Linked DNA regions of Drosophila melanogaster. Changing the gene in region 1 together with any one later gene gives a genetic interaction. Each region holds a gene or a part of one and is shown in the gene's direction. Other genes may lie near its edges.

What was found. Genes that interact genetically often act in the same process or in processes that back each other up.
Region 2: of Sln (region 1) and ND-42, changing one suppresses a phenotype caused by changing the other (phenotypic suppression), as found in Drosophila melanogaster (one study listed by BioGRID).
Region 3: of Sln (region 1) and sicily, changing one suppresses a phenotype caused by changing the other (phenotypic suppression), as found in Drosophila melanogaster (one study listed by BioGRID).

Annotation. Positions count from the first base shown.
Region 1 is NT_033778.4:11,843,031-11,851,767, forward strand, and holds the start of Sln (silnoon), read left to right. Parts: upstream 1-2,293; 5' UTR 2,294-3,047; coding exon 3,048-3,080; intron 3,081-5,866; coding exon 5,867-6,833; intron 6,834-6,934; coding exon 6,935-7,387; intron 7,388-7,446; coding exon 7,447-8,052; intron 8,053-8,128; coding exon 8,129-8,255; intron 8,256-8,316; coding exon 8,317-8,698; 3' UTR 8,699-8,737. Other genes in the region: S2P (site-2 protease), read right to left, coding at 1-292, 360-797, 849-923; CG43190 (uncharacterized protein), read left to right, coding at 1,484-1,636, 1,695-1,886.
Region 2 is NT_033777.3:22,025,172-22,029,893, forward strand, and holds ND-42 (NADH dehydrogenase (ubiquinone) 42 kDa subunit), read left to right. Parts: upstream 1-2,537; 5' UTR 2,538-2,849; coding exon 2,850-3,977; intron 3,978-4,044; coding exon 4,045-4,140; 3' UTR 4,141-4,222; downstream 4,223-4,722. Other genes in the region: CG6028 (uncharacterized protein), read right to left, coding at 1-233; Cchl (cytochrome c heme lyase), read right to left, coding at 964-1,219, 1,277-1,866; CG13409 (uncharacterized protein), read right to left, coding at 4,535-4,722. UniProt on the Drosophila melanogaster protein: Accessory subunit of the mitochondrial membrane respiratory chain NADH dehydrogenase (Complex I), that is believed not to be involved in catalysis. Complex I functions in the transfer of electrons from NADH to the respiratory chain.
Region 3 is NC_004354.4:11,889,203-11,894,245, forward strand, and holds sicily (severe impairment of CI with lengthened youth), read left to right. Parts: upstream 1-2,529; 5' UTR 2,530-2,835; coding exon 2,836-3,017; intron 3,018-3,086; coding exon 3,087-3,201; intron 3,202-3,527; coding exon 3,528-4,153; intron 4,154-4,387; coding exon 4,388-4,469; 3' UTR 4,470-4,543; downstream 4,544-5,043. UniProt on the Drosophila melanogaster protein: Involved in the assembly of mitochondrial NADH:ubiquinone oxidoreductase complex (Complex I) at early stages. Interacts with cytosolic Hsp90 to chaperone the Complex I subunit ND-42 in the cytoplasm.

The DNA of each region.
Region 1 (8,737 bases):
CGCTGTTTACTGGGCAGCCGTTTACTTGGGTTATTTGATTGTCCACTTGCAAGCCGCGCTCTCCCCTCAGCGGGGATTTCCTTGTTAGTTCAGTGACCACTACGTGTTGGTTGTAAGCGTACAAAGGTGACATAGTGATTCCCACCGTTGAGATTAAGAGATAGCACACGCCAGCGAACACAAAATTATGCCAGATTCCAGCGCACAGAACACGTAGCTTGCGGAACCAACGTAGACTGTTTAAGTGGTCGTGGGAGAGCTCCGTGTATGCTAACGGCAGGCAGAAGATGAACTGAAATATTAATATTTACCTAATTAGTAAGCGTATTAGGTTGTAAAGTACGCTATATCATTCTAACCTTTATTCCAAACCCGGTGACAGGCACATCCTCCATCACAGCGGCCAGGGCGTGTCCCATCTCGTGCACCACCAAGCAGAGCACAAGGGTTGTGATGTAGTATCCGATCTCCTCCAACGGCAAGTTGACGCCGGGCAGTAGAATTTCCAGCTGCACAGGGACTCCAACGGGCGAGGATACAGACGAAGAGCTGTCTTGTTCACCACTGCTGAAGATAGTGGCAATGAGCAGGATCAGACCGATCGGGAGCAGAGAAAAGGTGACCAGGACTCCTACATTAAAGCTGGTGATCATTACTCTCCGGGTGCAGCTGTTACCGGCAGATCCCCAGCGTAGGAGGGTCCTGTTAAAGGCACTCGTGTGCCAGTGGAGGCTCATGAAATTTATACTCAGCCCGGTGTTCTTGAGGAAGGCATCGTACGGGTAGTGCATGCAACTCTAAGGGATTACATTAAGTATCTGGACGTACTTTGGCTGGATATACTACACCTTGAAGAAGCGGTCGAAAAAGTAAAGAACGCCATAAAGCGATGCCAGTACTATGAAGAACACGAAGGGATCCATGGCTGGTGAGGTCTCAAGATGTCATTGGTTTGTTGGGATTAGGATGGTGATGCGGATTCTACAGTTGGGGGTCCTCCGGTTGCTGGACGTCACTTGCGAATGCTAGTAGTCCCTACCGGACGGGATTCCTTCCCGAAATCTTACTCCTCTGGTCCCGACTCCTTATACCAGCAATGCTGTGTAGTCCAGACCAGAAATCAGCATTAATCACGTCTGGGAATCTTGTGCGCAAATTAACCTGCGTAAAAAATCGAAATACCAAAAGCTAATCGCAATCGATTGCAGAACTTATCGATGGCCGCTTTATCAATAATACCGATAAGCAAGCTTATTTGGGCGCGAAAGTTTTGAACATTTTCAACTATTCAACGTCAAACAAAGAAAACTGTTGAACAACTCAAAAACAACAATTAAAATTTTTTTATGAAAATGATTTGCTTTCAATATAAAAAAATTCAAAATCCATTGTGTTAAGTGACTTAAAATACATCAAACACATGAGCGAACAGGAATTCTCATATAAGAGACTTTTGCCGACTTGCAGGCTGATCGTCTCCATTATGGCCTGCGTATCCTGTATATCGGGCGTGGCTGCCGGCTATCTTTTCATGACCAGTTTATCAGGTGTCTCTGAAGCGGTAAAGATTGTGTGGACCACCGGATCGGCTCTCTATGCATTATCCTCGCTCCTGTTGATTATTGCAGTTTGGAAGGTTAACCTGAAGCAAAATTAATTGAGGAAATATTCTTAAGAATCCTGTGATTTTGCAGTTCATTAAATGGCTGGCCTATCCATACATGTGCATGCTGCTCATGGCCATTGCCGTCTACACGATGATCCTGCAGTGGCTACTCAAGAACCTACCGGCTGCCGTTTTCTCATCTGTGGCCATCAGCTTTATATTTCTTGGAGTGGCGTTGAACATGACCAAAAGCCTGGAAGAACTACGCACTTCTCTATAGAGCAATGCAAAGTGTTCTCGTTTAGTTTTGGATTTATATTATAAATTTGCCGTGCAGTAATCAAGAGCAACGAATACACCTACTTTGATTAAAATTGAAAAATTATAGGTATATGAAAATCTAGCATGAGAAATTGTAAAGTTACATTTGTTAAATTTGTGTGACTTTAATTCGTAAGGCAATTCGTAATTCATTCATCAGCTGTTTTCAGAAATAAAAGTAGGTGGTTCTGGCAACAGGCGGCCAAAAGAACCTAGCAAAACAAAACGGATGAAAACCAATGGAAAGGAAGAGAGGACCTCTTACTCTTGTTTTTCCTTTTTCCATGCCGAAACTCACCACCACCAAGTTCACCTTAACTGAGTTGGGTTTTCAATGGACCTCCAGAGGACATGAGTATCATCAGTTTAGTCGTGAGCTTGAGCAGCAGCAGAACAGTCGCATCCGCCAAAAAGGGCAACAAACGAAGAGTACTCACGAAAAATAAAAAGGCTTTTGCAAAGGGTTTTCCCAATCAGAGAAAGTGTTCAATAGCTTCAGGCGTATTTTTAACCAATTTAACTCACTGGAAGGATCCAATTCGTTCGATTGTGATTGAGTAAGCTAAGAACAAAGGACTTCAGCTGGAATCTCGCCCCATATCGATTTGTTCCAAAAACTGCATATTCGCCAGCGAGTGAGTGAGAGAGTGCGCTTGTGCCGAAAACGGATACGGAAGGGGGCGACAAGGAAGCGGAAGCGGAAACAGCTGCTGCATAAACAATAGTAACAGGGAATACTGTGTGTCACATCAACGCATCATGACGCCAGAGCAGCAAGGATATTGCCCCTAGGAAAACCCATACAAGTTCCTCAAGGAAGCCCTCAAGAAAAAGCGAACGAAAATCGCAATCGATTCGGAGAACAAACCATCAAGACGAACCCGCAAAGGATTCAGTGCCAAAGGAGCCGTTCCGGCAGAAGCAGCAGTAGCAAGAGAGTATTTATTTTGGGCCAACCGGTGAAGGCCCGCGAACGTCAGCTCTTCAGGACTTTAAGGACCCAAAGCAGAGGCAACCCAATGCATTTGGGTGCACAACAACAACGCCCCAAGCAACAACAACAACAGCGCGAGCAACAAGAGAAACATCAAAGGCGTTTCACGTTCAGTAAAGGACGGCAATGTCGTCCCTACAGCGTGACTGGCATTTACAGGTGAGTAGTACTACCCAGCATCCCATTATCCTTACTTTGGGAAGGTCAGGAACCATCCCCCTTGATTCCTCCTCGCTGCCTTTTCTGGGGAGTGGGCCAATGGCAATCGTATTGAGGTAGCTGGAGTTTGGGTTCCTCTGGTGAGCATGCGCACTGGACCAGAGAGTGTTTTACGAGTACGTAAACATTGCAAGCGACAGGAGAATGGGTCAACGTCACAAGTTGCATCCATCTTAGTCGCTTTAGAAGAACGGGGACAAGAAAGTAAACAATACATGCCCCGACTGCTGATGGAAAGACCGAAAACCACAAGCCAAAGTTCAGTCGTGGCATGGTGTTGACCTTTAATGACACCTATTAAATCGAATAGAAGTGTTCATTTCTACTAGTTTTGACACAAATGAAAAGTAACTTTTTATTATGCTTATAATTATACTTACACTTACAATCGTTGATTTTGTAAACACTTAAAACATGAATTTTGAGCCAAATTTAAGTAGGTGTTTACACTCGCATATGGGAGTACAGCATCCCTACACTTAAGCATCAATGTCCTGCTGATTGGGTGAACTAATTGGCCTAGGCCTGTGCAACCTAATATCTATTATTACGGAGGGCTAGCAATTACGGGTGGCTCAACAAGTTGTGCGTCAAGTCCTCCCCACTAGATTCCCTCCCCGACTAGATACCACCCTCGACCAGCCGACTTGAGGCCACCCCTTTCACCTTGACCGCTTATCGTTCAGGCCCACACACGAGCGCCAACTAACTTGGCCCGGGGGAAGGTTCTTCCGTTTCATTAAGCGCTGGCAAAGGCCTTGAAATGTTGGGAAATTGAAAACAACCAGCGATTGCAGAGCTGCCCCAGCGAAAGCTTCCTGACAGCTTAAGCCGGATTCCAGCTGACAGCAGAGGGTGGTCTTGGGGGTTCTTGGCGTCCAGGATATCGTATACCATCGCATGCCACGGCGACGTGGGCCTTTGACATTCGACAAGGTCACTGGCTCTAGGATGCTGTGACTCATGCTCTTGAGGGGGAGTTGCCAAATGCCAAGAGTTGGCCAACGCTCATTAGTCGTGTCAGATGTGTGACTGCATTTTGCACTCGTTCAAGAATATTGCATGCCATCTATTTGGCATATTTCTACCATCAATATGGCTGACAGTTCATAAGCGGCACGAAGTTCGACAAATGACATGCCACGTAAACAAAAGACAAATTTATTAAATTTACTTTCAAAGTTAGAATTCAATTATATAAATTTACTTGGCTTTATTAAGCATAAGTGATGTTATGATTTGTTACATTTACCATGCAATATTTATTCGTTATAATAATTATTGATTATTTGCTCATTAAGAACTGACATGCTTAGATAGGATACTTAAGTAAAAGCAAATAAAAAGGTTGACTAAGGATAGAGCGCTTCACCTAATATATTGTGCATAGGTTTAACCAGCGTTGGGCACCAATCCTTCTTTCTAATGGGCACACACGTCGCATACTTGATATTTGATGCCAGCAATGTATCATATTTCGTATACGTACGTCATTGGAAGTACCAAGAAATAGGTGGGAGCGGGACAACTAAGTGCGAAATAAGAAGCTATTAGGAAATGAGTTATTACGAACTGTTGGTTATAACAATAAGATTGCGACAGCACATAAATATTAAGGGGGCAGGTGTTGAAATCTAATTAGGAATAGTTCAATATGAGGTAAAAATATTAACTGTGCACATATAACATAAAGTTTTAAATGTATATATTAGTTAGTATGTATAGTTGAGCTGTTGGCATGGCTGTAAACCCAATAATACCTTACATCAACTTACCGAATTTCGTTTTTGACTGCTTTCCAATTGTGTCCTTTCTACGAGGGCTTGGCAAAGATTGGCGTCTTATCAGCACGGGTATATTTCCTGGCATTAGCCTTCGGTTCGAGCATTGCATCGTCCTTGGATTGGAGCAAACACCCACCACTGCTCCTTTGGGGCCAATCGAACCCCCCATCAATTTCCGGCAACAAAGACAGAAACTAAAAAAGTGCTGAAAGGCAACCGCATGCCAGACCAGACCCACCTCGCTCTTGACCCTGAGTCGTCGGAAAATGGAGGTTTCGTGGGAGGAAGTGGCAGCGGATCCCGCAGACAAATGGAAAATTCCCAGACGTCATGCCAGCCCGCAAGGCACAGCATGCACCTGCAGCCTGGCATCGATTTAACAAAGTACATATAACAAGAAAATCCGCTCGGTCCGCGGGTAATTACATAGCCCAGCGGAGCGGGAATCGGGAAGGAACTGGATGTTAACTCAATTAAACAAAACGTATTGCATACATTAGGTCGTTGCAGCGATGTCGTCTATAAGGCGGCAGATCGCGTGCGCTCCTCGCATTTCGTTTAGCAATGCAAATTGGGCTAAGTTGTTGCTTCCTTGACCCGCCTCCAGTCGATTTGTCAACAGCCCCGGATTTCTGACGGGGTTTAACCCATTTTTGAATGCTACGGCGGAGGCGGAATTTTTGGATGCACGCCAATTTGGGACATTAACTTTTGATGTCTACTACTTGATAAGAACTTTCGCAATTAAATTGGCCCATTTTCTTGGGTTGCTTACTTCGTTAACTTGTTATGTTATTTAATTGTTATTTAAAAAAAACATCCCTCCATACTCCATACTCCATATCTTAAACACACTTTCATAGATTTATATTAAATATTGCACTAGATAACCAGCATATTTAATGTTTAACGATACAAAAATACTATTTATGTTTTTCGCAGGGTTCCCGGGGATCGGTTTACTGCGCGAGTGAACCGGACCCAACTGGTGGAGTCCAGTACGAGTCGGGAGGGTGCCTTCTCCACACGAAGACGGCTGAGGGCTCCGGCGGAGGGGCGGGCGTGGACGGGTCCGGTGGCGGAGTCGGCCTCGAATGCGGCTCCCTGTTCTCGGTGGTATCAGCGCCGCCGGCTCCACTGCCCGACATCGTTGTGCCCACCGAGATGGATGGCAAACACATGGAGTCCGCCGCCTTCCGCTCCGGATGCTGTTCACCCAACGCCTCGCCCATGCGACGACCCGCCACCCTCAGCCTGGACACGCAATGCTGCCCGAGGACCCTGCACGCCAGCCTGCTGGAGCATCAGATCTCCGAGCTGGAGGAGGACGACAATGAGAACCTGCTGACCGTGTCCAGCATCACGGCGCGACCGTTGATTGCCAAATCGCATGAGCTTCGCAGCAGTCGGAAGTCGGGTTCAGGTTCCGGATCTGGTTTGAATACGGCCCGCAGCAGGTGCGTCCGCCGGGCCAAGGAGCGCGAGCGGGATCGCGTGACCGTCGCCAGGCGTAGCAAGCAAGTGGTCAAGGATCGGGACTCCTCAACGACCACAACGGAGAGCGGTGGTCCGAATGTGGAGCCACCGGACGGCGGTTACGGTTGGTTCATCGTCTTTGGGGCCTTCTCCGTGCAATTCTGGGTGGCCGGACTGGTCAAGTCGTACGGCGTGCTGTATGTGGAGATTATGGAGACATTTCCCAGCTCTACGGCCACCGTGGCCTCCTGGATTCCAGCGATCCTGTCGGCTCTATGTCTGGTCCTGGCCCCGCTGTCCAGTGCTCTTTGCCAGCGATTCTCCTGCCGAACGGTGGTCTTCGTCGGCGGCATTTTCTGCGCCATGGGCATGATACTGAGCTACTTTGCCACCAGTCTGCTGCACCTCCTCCTAACATTTGGCGTACTCACAGGTGCATAATGTATAATCAATTTAAATTTATCCTCATCACATTAGTAATTATATTTATTTAGTTATCATGATGTTTATATTTAACTATTTCTTCACGCCCAGGTATTGGAGGTGGCCTCTCGACTACTCCGGGCATAGTGATAGTGTCCCAATACTTTGACAAGCACCGTGCATTGGCCAATGGAATCTGCGTTTCGGGCACTGCCGCCGGCAGCTTCATCCTACCCGTTCTGATAAAGCACCTCGCGGAGAACTGTGGCTTCCACGGCACTATTCTGATCCTGGGCGGTTGCATGCTTCACGTGTGCGTTTCGGCCACACTTTACCGCCCAATCAGTGCTTACACGGATCAGGACTCGGGCCAGGGACAGGAGGAGACGGCAAAGCCCCTCAACGAAGACATCAATCCGAGCACCACGGGCATTCTGACTACATCCACCTACCTAGACACCTGCGATGTGGGTGCAGGCCACGAGCTGAGCGACAAGTTTATCGAGCATCTGTTCCTGGAGGAGTCCAAGAACCACCTGAACTACTATGCCAGCAAGCAGCCAGGTGGGAGTATTATTTCATCGAGGAAAACTCCAAATAATAAATCCCATTTGGTTACTTAGCCCAGGACAAGTCAGCGCAGGAGAGTGACGACGAGGTAAAGGATATTATTGGCGAGACCACTTTCATCAAGCCCATGAAGAAGGTGCGCAGTTCCGGATTGCTGCACTCCGTCGAAGATCTGAGCACGGACTCCACTTGGGTCTATCGCAAGCACTCCGGCACGGACTCCAATCGCGGAAGTCGTCGTCGGCGCAATGTCTTTGCCAACGACGAGGTGATATCCAAGATACAAGCCCACTTGGAGAAGCCTCTTTCGCCGCCGAGTGTGGTCAGTCGCGGACTCAGCAAGAGCATGGAGATACCCACTCCGGTTAGCAACCTCAGTGATCTCAAGCAGCAGCCGGTGGAGCAGGCGGAGCTCGGCATTCTAGACTCCCAGCTGGTGGAGTCCATTATCGATGGCGACGGCCACCTTGCCGCCGATGAGGATGACGATGACGACGAAGAGCGGGGACCACGCACTTGCTGCGAGCGCATCGAGATGTACCTGGACATCAGTCTGCTGCAGGACCCGAGCTTTATCCTGATGTGCCTATCCGTCACCTTGATGTCCGTCGGCTGTCCCTACATGTTGTACTATCTGCCCGCCCACGTTATTTCAATAGGTATACTATTTAAAATGTTCAAAGTATATTCTTTCGGCGTACGATTTTAAATATTATAAACTTGGTTCATCTTTAGGATACAATAAAAGTGAGGCGGGATACCTGGTGGCCATCAGCGCGGTCCTAGATTTAATTGGGCGCCTTGGACTTGGCTGGCTGTGCGACCTGCAGCTATTCGATCGCAAGAAGACCTACACCTTGTGGTGAGTACCAGATAAGGTTTATTTTTCGATCCAAACTAATCACATTTCCCTATATCGACAGCATTTTGGGCGCCGGATGTGCCGTGCTCACAATTCCCTTCGCCAAGACTCTGGTTTTGGTGGGTCTATCGGCCGCTGTCTACGGACTTTGCCTGGGTAGCTGGTATGTACTTATGCCGGTCCTCCTTGCGGACGTCTTTGGCACGGACAGGATCAGCTCGAGCTACGGGCTGGTGAGGATGTTCCAGAGCATCGGGGCCATATCGGTGCCTCCGCTGGCAGGACTGATGCGAGACCTTTCCGGAGACTACGAGATATGCTTCTACTGCATGGGATCCTGCATGGTGCTCGGGACCACTCCGCTGATTGTGTGGTCCATCCTGGAGGCCCGCAACCATCGGTTGTTTGTTCAGCGCGAGGAGGAGGAGTGCGAGGAGGCCTAGAAATGATTCGGATTCGTTGGTTGCCCCATATGTTAATAG
Region 2 (4,722 bases), on another chromosome or scaffold:
GGCGGCAGCAAAGTGACATCATCATTCACCTCGAGTCGCGGCTGCTTTTCGGCCTTCTTCGCCAGTTCCTCCAGATTGGGATCCTGGGCAATCAGGATCTTTAGATCGCTGGGCACACCCTCCAAGCCGGCAAATTCCACCAGCGACTTTTGATCCTCGGACAGTAGACCAAGTCGCTTGGCCAAGTCACCTTTTCGCAGGTATTGAACGAACCTCATTCTGGCAGCTTGCATTTATGACTGATTTACGTCGAACGAATCTATCGCGGCTATCCAATTAACGCTCCAGTGGCCAAACTCGAATCTCACGTAATGAGGGCACCAGCAATCAGTTAAAGAATTTACACGCGCTTTTCAACACTGCCAGACATTAACCCCCTGAAGCCGCAGGTGTTAGAAAAGCATCATACATATAAACATACATATAATGTTATGGGTTGCATATCAACTTTTTATCAGAAAATGTATGTTAAAAAAGTTAAGAAACGTCTAAAGTTATATTCTATTTACTATACATTTTTTAAATTTGTAGTAATGATAAAAAAGTAGTAAACGTATTTTTATAATTTCGCAATCATTTTAAAGAGCATATAAATAAAATATAAAACTAAAGATTAAGAAAAAAAATTTTTACAGGCATTTTGAACAGATGAGAATTCTGCATATACATAAGTATATCAATAAAAAAAAACTTTAATTAATATATTCCTCCACAATGCTATCAACTCGTTACTGGATAATTCGAAATCCTTAAAAGGATTTAAGTAAAGAATAAAATAAAAAGCAAAACCACATTCGAATTTTGGTGTTCAGAAGTCAAGATTCAACATTTATTTAAAGAGAGGGCTCAACATCGTTTCGCTTCGCAGCGTCTTAAACGCATTTAACCAAACTCCCTCTTCCATCCATTCGATAACTTAAGCCGATTTTGTACCTATAGCGATCATCTAAATATGCATTCCATCTAGTCGCTACCAGCGGTCACTTTGCCGCCATCCGCGCTGCCAAACTTCTCAAACAGCTCGTACTTCCAGCGCATGTAAGCTACGCGCATTCTGTCCCAAACGTTGTCCACGGAGTCCATGGCTGGGCGCACATCCAGCAGGGCAAAGCGGTAGTCTTTGTCCACCAGTCCACCGTCGTAGTAGTCGATGACGTAGCGCACATCCTTGCCGCAGCGATCGACTATCCAGTCATGCCTATCGAATGGCAGCTCGTATCTGTAAGACAATTCGAACATTAATTCAGGTGAGATCTTCCGTCTGGAGTATACTCACCCCAGCCAGCTGCGGAATCGAGCGCGCGGACTGAAGTCCTTGGCCTTGCCACCGAAACTCTTGAGGCGCGGATTGCCGCATTCCTTGGCGTGAAGCGCCTCCCACTTAAGTACCTCCTGCCAGGCCTGCTCGTTGTTGGCATTGTGGATGCGTATGATGTCGCCCATGTCCTTTTGCGATACGTCCTCGGTCTTCCAGCGCCAGCCCTTGCGTAGCATGGCGTTCCAGAACATCTGTTGGCTGGGATACTGCCAGAATTGAACGCTGCCATCCTCGGTGACTTTGGGAATGGTCGACGTCTGGCGGTCGGTGGGCAGTGGAAAGGGCTGATCTGCCGCCGGCTGTTGGTTTGCCGGTGGCATCATATTCAGCGGATTAACGTCGCTGTTGTCGTGCTGCACCGGACATTCGGAAGCGGCCTGCATCTTGGGATGTGGGGGTACGGCGGAGGCCGATTTTGCATCTCCATGCTTCTGATGCATGGGGCATTCTGGTGGCGGGGCACCACTGCCGCTCATGTACTTGGCGTGGTCCACCGGCACACTCTTCGTGGCCTCCATTTGCACTCGGGTGATGGCTGTATTGCCCATTTCTGCTGGGGATTGGTTAATAACAAAATCTGTGTCACGAGGAAAATCGCATTAGTTCTCAGTTGCGTAACTGTAAGGAGTGGGTTACACTCCCAGTGCTGGGCCCCAACGCCAGGACTTACTCGATCCTAATGGTCACAACTCTCGATATTTGTCGATCTTCTCCTGGAGCCTTTCGCCTTAAATTTTGATTTATATTTTCGTTAGTTCATCGTTAGAACTTTTGAGCCCAAAATGCAGCGAGGTTGTGGTCAGGGCTGCCAGACCAACGGAAAGTGGACCAGTTGTTTCTGCACCGTGACAATATGTTAAGTTAAAAATTTAAAAAATCAACTCGCACCGCACGGCAATGTGAGTTTATGGTGTGTGTCTGTCTACAAATGAAAAGCATTGTTGAATTTATTTCAAGTAAATTAACTTGTAGTTAAACACCCCAGCTGTGCTGTGTAGTGTTGAGCAGTCGCTTTGCGATATTTTTAAAAAGTAAAACAAATACATTTATACATTAAAATGTTATTTTGTAAGTGTTATATAAAGTTTTTAAAATACTGGGTTAAATTTCATTTCATATGAAATTCTTTCTGATTCTGAGAAAAGTCGCAGTTAAAGCATAGACAAACATTTTGATTTTACATTTTTGATATTTGAACGGATACCTTGACAGCCCTATTCGGGGAGTTTTCCAACACCAACCATAGCCCGAAATTTGTTTTTGGGTAGACTTCCGATATTTAGATTGAAAAGTGAGTAAATACCACCGGATAGAGCATTAAAACCGACAATTTGGGTAAATCTATGGAGCGCCGCAATGCTGGCCAGCAGAATGCAACGAAAAGATCCGCATATCTGCAGTTCTAGGGCAGAGATTACCGCACTACCTGCGTAGCTCCTGTGATGTAACCACACGACAAATTGCCACTGGACGAGATATAATTGTTATTATCTTGTTTCGTTTTTGTACTGACCCTTGTTTTCCCTTCAGAATGACCGCCGTGTTCCGCGTAGGACTGGTGCGGCTCGTCAGCCGCGCCACACAGTCGCCCAATCTACTCCAGGCGCAGACGAATGCCCTGCCTGCTGCCTTCCAGCAGCGATGCAGCATCTCCGGCAAGACGATGCGAGGTGGACCACGGGTGCCCAAGGCCGCCCCCTATCCGTACAAGACGAAGAAGTACAGCGTGTTCAATGCTATTTTCGACAAGACCTCCAAGCGTTTTGACGAGAACTCCAAGGTGATCTGTGTGGAGGGACCCATCGCGGCCGGCAAGTCAAAGTTCGCCAAGGAACTGGCTGAGGAGCTGGACATGGAGTACTATCCGGCAGTTGATCTGGACCTAATCTACATCAATTCGTACGGCTATGACATGAGGAAGTTGGATCCTCAGTTGCCGCCCAGCTGCCGAAGCTACGATGTGCGCAACTTCTGCCTGGATCCCAGCCACGATCTGGCTGCCCAGTTCCAGATTCGCATGTACATGCTGCGCTATTCGCAGTACATTGATGCCCTGCAGCACGTCCTTAGCACCGGCCAGGGTGTTGTCCTCGAGCGCAGCCCCTACTCGGACTTTGTCTTCATGGAGGCCATGTTTCGGCAGGGTTATCTGTCACGCGGTGCGCGTTCCGTGTATAATGAGCTCCGACAGAACACCATCGGGGAGCTGCTGAAGCCGCATTTGGTTATCTACTTGGATCTGCCGGTCGATGCCGTGAAGAAGCAGATCAAGGCACGCAATGTGGACTACGAGGTGCAGTCAAAGGTGTTCAGCGATGCCTACTTGAGCGATTTGGAGCAGCTGTACAAGCAGCAGTACCTCAAGGACATCTCCACCCATGCCGAGCTGCTCATCTACGACTGGACAGCCGGCGGTGAGACTGAGGTTGTGGTGGAGGATATCGAACGCATCGACTTCAACCAGTTTGAGGCCGATATTCACAACAAGAAGATGCTCGACTGGCGTTTCCCGCTGGAGGCCGAGTGGTGCGAAGCCCGTATCAAGTACTGCCATGAGAAGCCCGATCTGATGAATTACTTCAATGTGCCGCGTTTCGATGTCCCGGAGCTGGTGCGCAGCGCTGACGACGGCAAAGTCTGGCGTGATGTCTGGTTCAATGTAAGTTCGGTGTTTCCATTTCCCTGTTCGATTTCTTTTCACATTAATTCTGCCCCTTTGCACACAGGCTCCCGGCATGAAGTACCGTCCTGGCTACAATGCAGACATGGGCGACGAGGGTCTCCTCACCAAGACGAAAATAGGCATCAACCAGGGCATCTAGAGGGTTTTTGCTATGCTTTCGAGTTGAAATCACCTGGCGAAATGTGTTAATTATCTAATAAACAGTCTAGTAAAATAATCAGAACCCAATTAGTTAAAAAGCGAATATGGTAAATATCGATTGTAAATACTTTTCATACAACAAAACTCGAACTATTGGGTTTATTTATACTTTTTTTTTAACATAAATTTCGAATTCAGCTTAATCATGAATACCCAAACATATTTCGATCCTCTCCAGTTTCATTGATCAACCAGAGATTAATTTTTTGAAATTTTAAGTTAATTTATGCATTATATTAGGGAATACTTTGTACACATTTAGCACTAAAACTTCAATTGCGCTATGGAACATTTGGGTATTCGTTCTGCCGCGGATACTTCTTAATCGCCGATCAATCGCTGTCGTAATCGTTCTTTCCAGCACCGCCGCCCACAGAGGTGAGCGGTCGCCGTGACTCCTCGTCGGAACCGTAGACAACATCCTCGTCGGAATCGTCGATCATGGAAATAGCCGGATTATCCTTGGTGACAGCCAGCTCCGCCTGGGCGAACCGTCCATCTGGCGAGTACACATACGCCA
Region 3 (5,043 bases), on another chromosome or scaffold:
TCAGATGCTTTTGACTTATTTTTGCAACAATTTCTCTATTTCTATTTTCAATAATTAACCACCCCTTTCACTTTTCAATTGATTTTGTAAAATTAATTTTTGGCCAAAATTTTCGCATTTTTTGTAAGGGGTACCATCATCAAAATTTGCAAAAAAATGAAAAATCCTAGAATTCCCAAACTTGAATGCAAATCGATTGGAATTTAAAAAACAAACTCAACGATGTATGACATTCCATATTTGAGTCATTATTTTCAATGTTTTGATCAAAATACCGAATATTTTTTTCACAAAAAATCTGGAAACTACTTTTGGCAAAAAACTCAATTTTCAAGTTGGCTTTTTTGGCTATAACTTGTCTAAAAATGGTCACAGAGCAAAAAGAATTACCATTTTATACTCCTTATGACCAATACTAACAACCCCTATCACTTTAAAACGGATTTTGTAAAATTAATTTTTGGCCAAATTTTCACATTTTTTGTAAGGGGTAACATCATCAAAATTTGCAAAAAAATGAAAAATCCTAGAATTCCCAAACTTGAATGCAAATCGATTGGGATTTAAAAAACAAACTCAACGAGGTATGACATTCCATATTTGAGTCATTATTTTCAATGTTTTGATCAAAATACCGAATATTTTTTTCACAAAAAATCTGGGAACTACTTTTGGCAAAAAACTCAATTTTCAAGTTGGCTCTTTTGGCTATAACTTGTCTAAAAATGGTCACAGAGCAAAAATAATTACCATTTTATACTCCTTATGACCAATACTAACAACCCCTATCACTTTAAAACGGATTTTGTAAAATTAATTTTTGGACAAATTTTCGCATTTTTTGTAAGGGGTACCATCATCAAAATTTGCAAAAAAATGAAAAATTCTAGAATTCCCAAACTTGAATGCAAATCGATTGGGATTTAAAAAACAAACTCAACGAGGTATGACTTTCCATATTTGAGTCATTATTTTCAATGTTTTGATCAAAATACCGAATATTTTTTTCACAAAAAATCTGGAAACTACTTTTGGCAAAAAACTCAATTTTCAAGTTGGCTTTTTTGGCTATAACTTGTCTAAAAATGGTCACAGAGCAAAAAGAATTACCATTTTATACTCCTTATGACCAATACTAACAACCCCTATCACTTTAAAACGGATTTTGTAAAATTAATTTTTGGCCAAATTTTCACATTTTTTGTAAGGGGTAACATCATCAAAATTTGCAAAAAAATGAAAAATCCTAGAATTCCCAAACTTGAATGCAAATCGATTGGGATTTAAAAAACAAACTCAACGAGGTATGACATTCCATATTTGAGTCATTATTTTCAATGTTTTGATCAAAATACCGAATATTTTTTTCACAAAAAATCTGGGAACTACTTTTGGCAAAAAACTCAATTTTCAAGTTGGCTCTTTTGGCTATAACTTGTCTAAAAATGGTCACAGAGCAAAAATAATTACCATTTTATACTCCTTATGACCAATACTAACAACCCCTATCACTTTAAAACGGATTTTGTAAAATTAATTTTTGGACAAATTTTCGCATTTTTTGTAAGGGGTACCATCATCAAAATTTGCAAAAAAATGAAAAATTCTAGAATTCCCAAACTTGAATGCAAATCGATTGGGATTTAAAAAACAAACTCAACGAGGTATGACATTCCATATTTGAGTCATTATTTTCAATGTTTTGATCAAAATACCGAATATTTTTTTCACAAAAAATCTGGAAACTACTTTTGGCAAAAAACTCAATTTTCAAGTTGGCTTTTTTGGCTATAACTTGTCTAAAAATGGTCACAGAGCAAAAAGAATTACCATTTTATACTCCTTATGACCAATACTAACAACCCCTATCACTTTAAAACGGATTTTGTAAAATTAATTTTTGGCCAAATTTTCACATTTTTTGTAAGGGGTACCATCATCAAAATTTGCAAAAAAATGAAAAATCCTAGAATTCCCAAACTTGAATGCAAATCGATTGGGATTTAAAAAACAAACTCAACGAGGTATGACATTCCATATTTGAGTCATTATTTTTAATGTTTTGATCAAAATACCGATTATTTTCTTCACAGAAAACTGGGAAACTATTTTTGGCAAAAAACTCAATGTTTAAGTTCGCTTTTGTGGCTATAACTTGACTAAAAATGGACTCACAGCAAAAAGAATTACCATTTTATACTCCTTATGATCAACACTAACCATCCCTTTAACTTTTTAATTGATTTTGTAAAATTAATTTTTGGACAAATTTTCGCATTTTTTGTAAGGGGTACGTACCATCATCAAAATTTGCAAAAAAATGAAAAATTCTAGAATTCCCAAACTTGAATGCAAATCGATTGGGATTTAAAAAACAAACTCAACGAGGTATGACATTCCATATTTGAGTCATTATTTTCAATGTTTTGATCAAAATACCGAATATTTTTTTCACAAAAAATCTGGAAACTACTTTTGGCAAAAAACTCAATTTTCAAGTTGGCTTTTTTGGCTATAACTTGTCTAAAAATGGCCTCACAGCAAAAAGAAAAGAAGTCAAGAAGATTACGCATGGCAAAAAAGCAATATTTACGGAAGATAATGTATTTATATACCTAAGCTAAGCTTTATATGGTAAACTACCTAAGCTAAGCTATAATAATGCATTATAAATTTACCAACAAGTCACATACAGCATTTTGAATCTTCCGCCAAATGAAATTTCCGCGTAATCGCGAATACCCCATATGTAGTAACTTTCTGACAGACCGAGTGCGATCTGGCAGCACCGCTCAGAACATATGTTCAGTTGTCTGGTGGAAAGAAGAAGCACAGATGCGGCGCCTGGTGCGAAATTGGAATTGCCGATTGTTATTTAACGCCAAATCCGGCCAAGAAATTGTCAGCCATGCCGGAATTCACCAGGAGGCCAAGACCAATGCGATTCCCAGGGAAAAGAAAGTGATTGAGGCGGACAAGAATGGATACGGGGCCAAACATTGCATGAGTCTAGTGGAGTAAGTAGCGCAAACTTGTCGATTGAAGTTATCCGTATAATTGAACATGGATCTATTCCGGATAACCAGGAAATACGACTACGAGAACTACCTGTGCACCTTGCTCCTACCACGGGAACTGCGACGTGCTGCCTTCGCCCTACGGGCATTCAATGTGGAGGTCTCCAGATCGGTTAGCGGCCATGTGAGTGGAGCATCGAAATTCCTTGGGGCTTATTTTTTAAGTTAGAATAACGTGGCGCCTTAAATTCAGACTCCGTTCAGACTCTGTTACTCCGCATCAATATTATTGTAAGCATAAGTGGCTTATGTCCGCATCTCATGAATATTATTACCATTTCGAACGGTTTCACAAATCTCTTAATTTCTTATGTACACTGCAAGAGTATAATTTCTCTCCTTCCTTTAAAACGGATAGAGAAATTCGTAGAATAAGCAACACTTCGTAGTTTTTAAACTTCTTATTTCTGTCCAGTAAAATCGTTTATATAATGACAAATATCCTTGCAGCAAATTGAGCCGCAAATAGCCAAAATGCGCCTTAAGTTCTGGCACGACTCCATAGACAAGTGCTTTGAGCCGGATTCCCAAAGATCGTACGTGGAGGACCAGCCTGTCCTGCGCGAACTGAAGCACACGGTGGGCAGTCGCAAGCTAAATAAGGTATATTTGCGCCGTCTGGTCACAGCACGGGAACGTCCGCCCACGCATGCATTTGAGTCGATACGCGAGCTGGAGGAGTACACGGAACAGACCTTCTCTTCGCTATTGCTCCTGCTGTTGGAGGTGGGCGGAGTGCGTGACCTAAATGCTGATCATGCCGCCTCCCACTTGGGCAAGGCCCAAGGCATCGCCACCCTGCTGCGATCGATACCGCTGGCAGGACGTCAGCAGGCGCCCTGCATTCCGCTCGAGGTGCTGGTGCTGCATGGCGTCAGCCAGGAGCGCATCATTCGCTCTAAGAGCGACGACAAGGGTGTCGAGGACTGTATATTCGATGTGGCCAGTGCCGCCAATACGCACCTAAAGCTCGCCAGGCAGCTGCACGATAAGGTGCCGCCGCAGGTGCGCAAGATCTTCCTCTCCGCCGTGGCCACGGATGCATATTTGGAGCGCCTCCGCCGTGCCAACTTCCTGTGAGTTCCTTTGTTTTATATTGCTTTGTTTTATATTACGACAAACACAGGAGAGAACCAGCTTCTTTTTGTAGTTAAGATGTTATTTTTATCCAGTTATAAGTACGATTTGCCTTTATTGAGACTTCTTTATTTCAAAACCTAGCTATAGTTTGTTGGTTGTTCAGTATTCATGGAGCGGACCCTTCTTTTTATCAATCCCCATAATAATATAATAATTTTCCCATCTTATAGGCTAACCCACAAGAGCTGCGTAGGCCGCGACACCTTACTGCCAGCACGTTTATTCTGGAAGTCGCTGCTTAATCGGTTCTGATAGCGATTATGTTAGTATGTAGTACGAAATAAATTCTTCATTGTTGACTTCTTTAATAAAAATCACTTTAAAATAAGAGCTCTTACTTTTTCTCGAATCAATAGAAGAGGATTTCCAATGTTTATAAGAATACGAATATGAATCGGATCGGGGATCTTTTGGATGAAATGGGTTAAGAACGGTTGCAGGAATATCGCTATCTCGCTTCGAATCGGGACGTAATTACTATCGATGACAGGTGCACCAAAGGTTCGTCCCGACGAAGGTATCGGTGGATACGATGCAAGACCCGATTGGTACAGTAGTTGCTAGCTGATTTCAGAGCGTTTCAGGCGCAGTTTTAGTTTTTTATGAATGTTAGAATTGATGTGGAAAGTGTGTGTTGGATATTAATGAGAACGGAGCAGTGCGACGATCGCTCAACAAGATAAGCACCGTTTGTTTTTGGGCCCGTTTCCGGCTTCCGGTTGCTAGTTCCGGAAAAATTGCAACGCCTACTTTACGCGTACTTTTGGCATGGTGAGTTTTTGGCGCGCTTTCTTCGCACTCCTGGATTGAACTTTGTAAACCCAGA